2 linked regions of the Oryzias latipes genome follow. The protein of the gene in region 2 interacts with the protein of the main gene of each other region in a pairwise test. Links are inferred from orthologs where the notes say so. Each region holds a gene or a part of one and is shown on either strand. Other genes may lie near its edges. The genes, in order: hsf2 and tpm3.

The links.
Region 1: the proteins of tpm3 (region 2) and hsf2 interact in binary tests that used the Homo sapiens proteins (3 or more experiments, as listed by UniProt). The two-hybrid records come from large-scale screens. The link is inferred for Oryzias latipes from reciprocal best matches to the Homo sapiens genes TPM3 and HSF2.

What each region holds. Positions count from the first base shown.
Region 1 is NC_019882.2:10,661,236-10,664,827, reverse strand, and holds the end of hsf2 (heat shock factor protein 2), read right to left. Parts: intron 3,225-3,592; coding exon 2,943-3,224; intron 2,514-2,942; coding exon 2,411-2,513; intron 2,221-2,410; coding exon 2,154-2,220; intron 1,612-2,153; coding exon 1,289-1,611; 3' UTR 564-1,288; downstream 1-563. UniProt on the Homo sapiens protein: DNA-binding protein that specifically binds heat shock promoter elements (HSE) and activates transcription. In higher eukaryotes, HSF is unable to bind to the HSE unless the cells are heat shocked.
Region 2 is NC_019869.2:21,739,296-21,743,877, reverse strand, and holds the start of tpm3 (tropomyosin alpha-3 chain), read right to left. Parts: upstream 3,063-4,582; 5' UTR 2,952-3,062; coding exon 2,838-2,951; intron 2,245-2,837; coding exon 2,119-2,244; intron 1-2,118. UniProt on the Homo sapiens protein: Binds to actin filaments in muscle and non-muscle cells. Plays a central role, in association with the troponin complex, in the calcium dependent regulation of vertebrate striated muscle contraction.

The sequences.
Region 1 (3,592 bases), on a different chromosome or scaffold from region 2:
TTTTGATACCAAAATTCCTGTAATAACTTTAAGTATAAAGGAGTTCACCTGCTTGAAAATGTGTGGGAAATAGAGAACCTTAATAATGTGAATGCTTTGGAGCTGTCACATAAAGAATGCTTTAAAGGTCCACTCAGATTAAAATCATTTAGTGTTTTTTTTTTCCATGTTCTTGTAGCATTTTGTCATAGACGTACACAAAGAAAATTAAGCCAAAACTTGCATTTGAGGTTTTTTTTCCCCTTCAAATTGTGAATCAGGAACAGACGTTAAAATGGAGTTAAAAAATGAGCTTATTAATTTGTGACGTAGAAAATAAGTTGGGCGGGTCACAAACTCCCTGATCTGCTCCATTCTGAAGCTTCCGCTTGCAGAAAAATGGATCCATGTACATCTTTGGTTTCTCCGTCTGAGCTGGAATCTGGATCAAAACTGTTCGGCTGCATAGCTCCAATACTGCTCATCATTTTTGTTGCACTGGTAATTTTAGGCTGGGGGTGTAAGCTAGCATGTAAACAGAGAACTCTCAGTAATGGAGAGGGAAAGGGAGACACCAGAAGAGAATCACTAGACATTAACTTTATTTCAGCTGCATGGTTTCATCGGTCGACACAGAAACCACCGTACCTCACAACGTCAGCCTGACTCAGCGGAGGCAGCATGAAAAAAGCTGTGTTCCGGTTCATTGTTTACAGAAATCAGCAGTTCTACCCATCATGTCATGTCAAAGAGGTTCCAGCCGTGTAGAAACCTCAGCTGCTGTCACGACGCTCCTCAGCCGCATCTCTGCAGGAGAATTTCCCTTCCCTCCCGCTGCAGCTCTGCAGTGTTTGTGCATGGATGGGCCGCTGCAGAACCTGAGCTAAGCTGCCGCGCAGCAGTTCAAAGCAAACTCCTCTCTTCTGAAGGAATGCTGCTTTATGAAATGTTAGCTTTGGAAGGAAATGTAGCAAAAACAAACAAACAAAAAACAACTGGAAATAAATAAATGTATGTACAAGGAGGAGACTGCACTTTTGGACCAAATATGGGCGGAGAGAAGGAAGAAATGGGCCTCATCTTCCTCCTCTGGTGCTGAACACAGAGGTCTGCTCCTCATCTCTACGTCTCACAGAAATTCCACGAGAACACAGGCAGCAGTCGGAATAATAAGAAAGAAACTTTGTGGTGAGGTGCTCCCCCCTCATTTGAGCTGATGATAAGTGCTGAAGGAGGGGGGGGGGGGGGGGGGGGGGCACAGAGTCCAAGCAGGATCTGATCCCAGCAGGAGGACGTCCAACAGATCTGCTCATACTTGGCTCAGTTGGGCGGAGTCAGTCTCAGGTGCGGCAGGACTCAGCTCGCACAGGTAGAAGAGCGTCTCCTCGCTGGCCTCCGCCTCGGTCAGCGGCTCCAAGCGGATCAGGGAGCTGCGGCTCGGCTGCTTCGGCTCCTCGTCAGGGTCCAGGAGCTCTGAGGGCAGCTCTACAACGCTGCCAGGGCTGGAGGGGGCCTGCAAGCACGAGTCTGACCCCACTGGAGTGTTGGAGTTCAAATCCAGATCTGGGGGAGGGGCACAGCCATCTAGGAAAGCCAGCAGGGGGCAGCAGGTGTACTGGATCAGCTGCTTATCTGAGGAAAGGAAACAAGAGTTACAGATAAATGATCAAAGCCAGCCATCAAGCTAATCATCTCCATTAGAGTCTACACACATGGACCAACATCAGCTTCCATTTATGCTGACGACACACATCTCTGTGTTATGCTACATTCACATTAGCCTTCAATCCAACCACAGCTTGCAATGAAATGAAACGTAAACGCGCATTTCCTGCTTCCACGCTCAGAAATCTCACGTTCATGCAAGCCCGGCTGGAATCACACGACACCCAGTCTTTCAGATACTGGAATAGAGCTGTGACAGAAAAAGTAGCGCTAGTGTACCGAGTAGCAACAGACCAGTGTGAACACCAAATGTTAAAAGCACGTTCAAAAACCCACATTCACTGTGTTCTTGAATGTGTATCCTGTGCCCGGTGTGAGTGTGTAGCATCACAGAGCCTACCGATCATTAAGAGCTCACTTATACACGTGTAAGTGGACATTTTGATATAAAAATATAGACAGGTTAGGATTTTAGCGGTTTAAACCAAAACTCAGGCATTCTGTCTTACCGGTGTTGTCCTTCTCTGTCTTGCTTCTGACTGGCTCTGTGTTGCTGTCCTTAACTGAAACGCTCTCCTGAAAACAAGGATTTTTTACAACAAGATTAAAATTAAAAGACTAGAGAATAATTTATGTCTAAACTACATTAAATACTTGAAAAACACCCACAAAACCTTTCCTGGATATCTACCACACAATGTTAGAAATCCTGCACTAAGAAAGATCAGTCTAAAGATGTTTGAGGAAGAGGATGAAGGGGCATTACCTCAAGGGCCTCAAAATCAAAACTGCACTGTTTCTCATAGATCATGGCCTGAAAGTCCTCCAGACTGCAGTCAATGCTGTCCAGATAGTCCATGAGCTCCAGCCTGAAACACACAGACCAACAGTCAGTGGGCCGAAAAACAGCACCCTCTGCTGGCACAGCGGAGCCTGTTCATGTTCAACTGCTCGTGACTTAAGAGATCTTCCACAACGGTCAAAACAAAGCAACGTGACCCAGCTGTAAACAAGAAGTGACCTTTTCAAATGCTGAAGGAGAAATAAAAAGTGACCAGCTCTTTGAGAGAAAAACAACAGAGCCTGAAAAATGCTGCACCCCAATTACAAACCAATACAAACTGTTTACAAGAAGAGAGCTGCTCCAAATGTACACAAAAACTGATCCCCACCCAGTGTAAAAAGAAAAGGATCTTCCTCAGCTGTGGTTGGGGAAGTGGCCTACCATACCTGTAAACGGAAAGTTATATACTAGAGCTGTAAACAGGAAGTGGTCTGTTCTGGGTCATAGGACTCACTTTCCCAGCAGATTGATGTTCTGGGAGATTGCTCCGTTCTCGTTCATGATGGAGTCCATCATCTTTACGGGATCCTCCAGACTCAAACCGGAGGGTTTGTTGAGCAGCAGGGCGTTGCTGTCCATAGAGCTGCTCCGCTGGATGGTGTCCGTCACTGCGGTGATGTCGGGGACCTCTTCCACCTCCGTCTGTCGGAGCTCCTCTGTGCTGGCGGTGCTCACTTCAGCCTCAGCTGGAATAACCCCACAGCTGTCCAGGTCCACCTCCACAATCTCCACCTCACTGAGGAGAGCATTGACAGGGACAGAGCTGTTCACCTCAAACTGATCTCAATTTAGGACAGATTTGCTCTGCTAACACATGAGCAGTTCAGGTTCCTCAAGACTATAACAGCTCATGTCGACTACCGTCACGGTTGAACTTTTTACACAATTGACATAATCCCAGTGGCTTCTGAAGCGGAGAAGAGCAGCTTTGTGCTGATATTTAACACTTTTACAGTAGTGAGGTGTTTACGCCGTCAACATGAACCAGCTGACTTTGTGCAGCCATGCCTAGAGCTGTGACGGTGTCGAATTTTTCATCACCGCGGTGATGAACCACCAGGGGGCGCGGTGTCGCGGTTAACCGCAGCAGCACCCCCCCACCCC
Region 2 (4,582 bases):
AAGCACTGAGCCTCACTCAGTGTGAAGTATTGTTTGTGCCACTCTGCCTGCATTACCGAGTGTTGTATTTGGACCCGATCTTCTGATTTCCTGACCCTTGTCTTTCACTCTGTTTGCCTGCTGCCTGCCCCAAATCTCGCCTGGATCCTGACTATTTCTGTTTCTTCTCTGATGCTGCCATGCTCTTTATTGACTCCTGCCTGCCTGACCCTGATTTAGCTTTGTGGACTTTTAGCTGAGCTAATAAACATGCTGCATTTGGATCCAGCCGTCTGCCCATTCTTGTGACAGAATACTTTGCCAAACATGGATCCAGCAGGAGCTCCCAGCCCGATGAACCCGGTGGGGTTTGCTTCTTTGTTGCTGGAGCACAGTTGCCACCTCCCTCCAGGAGTAAAGATGCAAGAATTATTTAAAGACTTTTGGATCTGAACTGGACTTTTTCTATAGCTTTAGTATTCTTATGTAATAGGTGACAAATGGATTTATATTTAAAGGGCTGTCTCTTTTAGAGCTCTTTGGTCTTGGTCATGGTGGAGAGGTTGGAGTCTGAATGTTTAGGGGAATAAATAGGTGTATTTTATTCAGATAATAAGTTCAAACAGGTGACATTAATACAGGAAAGAAGAGCCACAGGTCTCTGTGGGACAGAATTCTAGCCTGTTTGTTGGAGCTAAATACTTATTTTCAGCACCATCATACAAATAACTCATTAAAAATCATACTACTTGATTTCTTGGAATATTTTTTGTTTCATTCTTTCTCTCATTGAATGTATGATTAACATTACTGACCTCTTTTATCTTAGTAAGTGGGACAATGGATAGAATTAGAGGCTGATGAATACTTATTGACTTTGTCACCTTTATTAAGGTGTTTATTTTCCAATTACAGCTGCCAGTGTAAGATTTATACAGAGGAATAACACACAGCTGTCGCTGAGTATCAACCTTGAATCATAGATTTCTCAAAGCATTTCTAAAGATGCCAAAATGGCTTCCAGATCTTCTTAAAGTGTACGCCTAAGATAAAACGCAGATGGAGCATGAAACTGGGGAAGTCAGGGAAAACAGAGGATGAAGCGGGGAGGTTGCAGCCAGCAGGAATGCAAAGGTCCTCTGCAGACTGAGGCATGGCAGAGGAGGTGGCCGACAAGTCAAAACCAAAGCAGCCCCTTCGAGGGTGGAGACACAGGCAAGAGATGCGACAACATCAAGGAGGTACTTAAACTAAGCATCATCTAAACATGGAAATTGGTGAGCCTTCAGAGCTGCCTGATTTGTATTTGCTTAGAGAACCAGTGAAACACTACCCGCTCCCTGTTCCTCACAAAAAAGGCTTTACAAGGTTTGCAAGCTTACTCCTGCTCTTAAATCAGAAATGTTCATCTATCCTTTGATAATGGCAGCATATCCCAACTCGGGACAAGTGGAGCACAGCCTAAACAGATGTTTGTATTTATTGTGATTTTTAGAATTTACAAATAATATTGCAAAAGGTAGTTTGTTCTTAAAATTTGGAAGATTTTAACAAAGAAATTATAAAATATTGTTTGTAAAAAGCCAACAAAACACTTCCGTCAGGTTTATACAGAGTGTCAAGACTGAAGACTTAAAACAACTGTTAAGTGACCTGACAGGAATGGCTGAAGGACCAAAAAAAGACTGGAACTATTGTGAGGCTTACACTCAAGGTTATGATGGTGACATCATAGTGGAAATCAGGATTTAAATCCCACCAACAGCTGTGAGAGGCAGGCAAGGCATGCTGGGAATGCAGCACAGGAGGACAGGCCTGGCTGGGACGAACCACATCAACTGCCTCTGTCTGAGTCTGTGCCCCGGGCTCTCACCGCACAACAATGCAAAACCTCTTTTCATGTCATCCTCACACATGGCTCATCCCAAACCCAGAGGATAGGTTTTTTCCAATGGTATACCTCCTGTTTATTATGTTATAAAATGATATAAAACTGATCATTTTTGACCAAAGATGCAGAGATAATATAAAGTGGGTTTATTTAATTGGAAAAAAACAACATTCAGGTATTTTACGGTTCTTTCTCAGTTTAACGATCCTATGTGCAGCAGCTGAGCTTAGTGTTGCATGATTACTCACATCAGCTGCTTTTTTGTCAGCAACTTCCAGCTTCTCCTGAGCGTCCTTCAGGGCCTCAGAGTATTTATCCAGCTCATCCTCCGTCGACTTCAGCTTCTTCTGCATTTGCAGGAGTTCATCTTCATGCTGAAGACAAACCGACAAGGAAAATAAATCATCTACACAGCAGGTAACCTGAAGAAAGTCCTATTTTGATATACTGAGCTGCACTTAATGCATATGAAATTGCCCTATGTTATTACACTCCCTTGTATATTATGTTTAAACAATTCTTCTTACCCTCTAAGAATTTTTTTATTTTGTTTTCAGTTTAAGACCTCTGGTTTTATTCAAAGACACTTTATTATTCCCCAAATTAAGAAGTTGTAGTACATATTTTTTAACTTTATCTTTATTGACAACAGTGACTGAAAACAATTTTTGTTATTTACCCTCAAAGTAGAGGAGGCTTAAATTCTGGAGCTTTTTTTTAACCTTCCAACAACCCCATCAGTAAAAAAAATGTAAATCTTTAGTAATCATTGTCTGGGGTCGGTGATCAGAACAATTTTTAAAATACAATTTTTTTTTTCTATGTGCTTAACTTTTTTGTTGAGCTGGGAGTTAAAATGTTAACAGTGATTGTTGGTTTTTATGGCTTTTTCCAAAAAAAATGTTGTGCTTTTTAGATAATTGTAGGTCTTTTAAATGTATTTACATTATAGATTGCCATGACCCACCTGTTTACTTCTGTCCTCAGCTGCTTTCCTGTCAGCCTCAGCTTGTTCTGCCTGGTCCAGTGCGTTCTCCTTGTCCAACTTCAGCATGAGCATTTTCTTCTTGATGGCTTCCATTTTGGCTGTTGGGTTCCTGAAGCTGACAGGGAAAACAAACAGAGGATTTTGTCTAAAACAGGTTCTAGAGCTTGTCTAAGCTGGTGGAAGAACCAAACTCACTCAAGATATTTTTATATAGCAGACACCTAGCTCCTCCTTCTTTAATCCCACCCTTTGTGACAAAGTGGGTAACGTTACACCCATTTGTCCCAGAACTCTGTCCAACATTTATTAAAAGAGCACGTGTGTTTTGCCATTTTCCATCATAAATCAAGGTTCAAACATTTGTTATTCCTGTTTTGTGTTGTATTTATTCCATCTAGAATATGAGTAATCTTACAGGGTTGTGGAGAATCACACACAACATTCAGCAATCTCCAATTAAAATAATTTTTTTTCTGTCTTCTCGAGATTTCAAGATAAGTTTTAGTTTTATTCTGTTATCCTTAGAAAACTGGTGTTTTCTTCTCATGATAATGAGTCTTTAGGTTATTATCTCGAGAAAAGAGAAAAAAATTGACATGGCTATTCCGGTCTTCTGTAGTAAACATCTGTTAAAGTGAGTTGAGAAATCAAACTTTTTTGGCAAAAATGTTTTTATTACCTACCTTGTAACACCCCTTTCCCCCCTCCCAGACAAAAAGGAACCAGATAAAACCTGAAAAGTTCAAAACCTCATTTTAGTCAAAATCATTTTTCCCTTTCATTTTCTGACAAAAATATTGAGGCAGTTCAGTTGAGATTTCCTCATAATATTCTGTCCCTGACATTCTGTGTTGCCTTTTCATCGGGTGTCAATATTAGAATTGTTATTGCTTTAAACTCCTTCCCTCATTTATGCACTGATTAATAACTGAAAGCTTTATTATAACCGTACAGTTTATGCAAATATTGTTAAGGAGAAAAACCACTCTTGTTTTTAGAGGGGCTCCAATAGTCTATGCCCCCACCACAGCAAAAACCTAATTGTGGTGTTTGAAATGTCTTCCATGAAGCAACAATAACTTCAAATGCAAGACCGCAGCCTTTACTGGTGTGTGTCAATTCAACTGAAACTGAACCTGAAGGGTTTCTTTCTTTTTTATGATCCCTTTAACTCTATTTGAAAATGTGACAGCGTCTTATAGGATGAAAGAAGAAGGAGCTGCAAACAATGCCAAGAGAAACATTAACTGTGTGCTTGAGTGCCAAATGCCCTGGGATAACTATAACGGGATCTCTCCAGGGAATACACAACCGTGAATGTGTCGCTTATTCCTGTCTAAGCCCTGCTGGGTTATTAATAAACATGTTTTGGCTGACATTGTCCTACGGATCAGAACAAAAGAATGTCTGCAGCTTGGCCATGCTGGTGGAGACGACTCTACAGAGAGAAGTGTTTAATGGTTCTGTTAGTTTGACGATAGTTGATGAAATTATGCAAAACATAGGAATATGCTATATTTTGTTTTCTGTAATTAAAGAAAAGTTTTTTTAATAGATGGGGACATTGTTGGATTAGAATTAAGACAACAGTGAGCATAAATGGAGTGGATTACAGCCGTTTTTTTCTAGTTTCCACTTTAATATACTCTTCTGGTCCTGACCTGCTGGACCTCATCACAACTTTCTTCTGGTTAGGGCATGGAATGTCATAATTCCAGCACAAT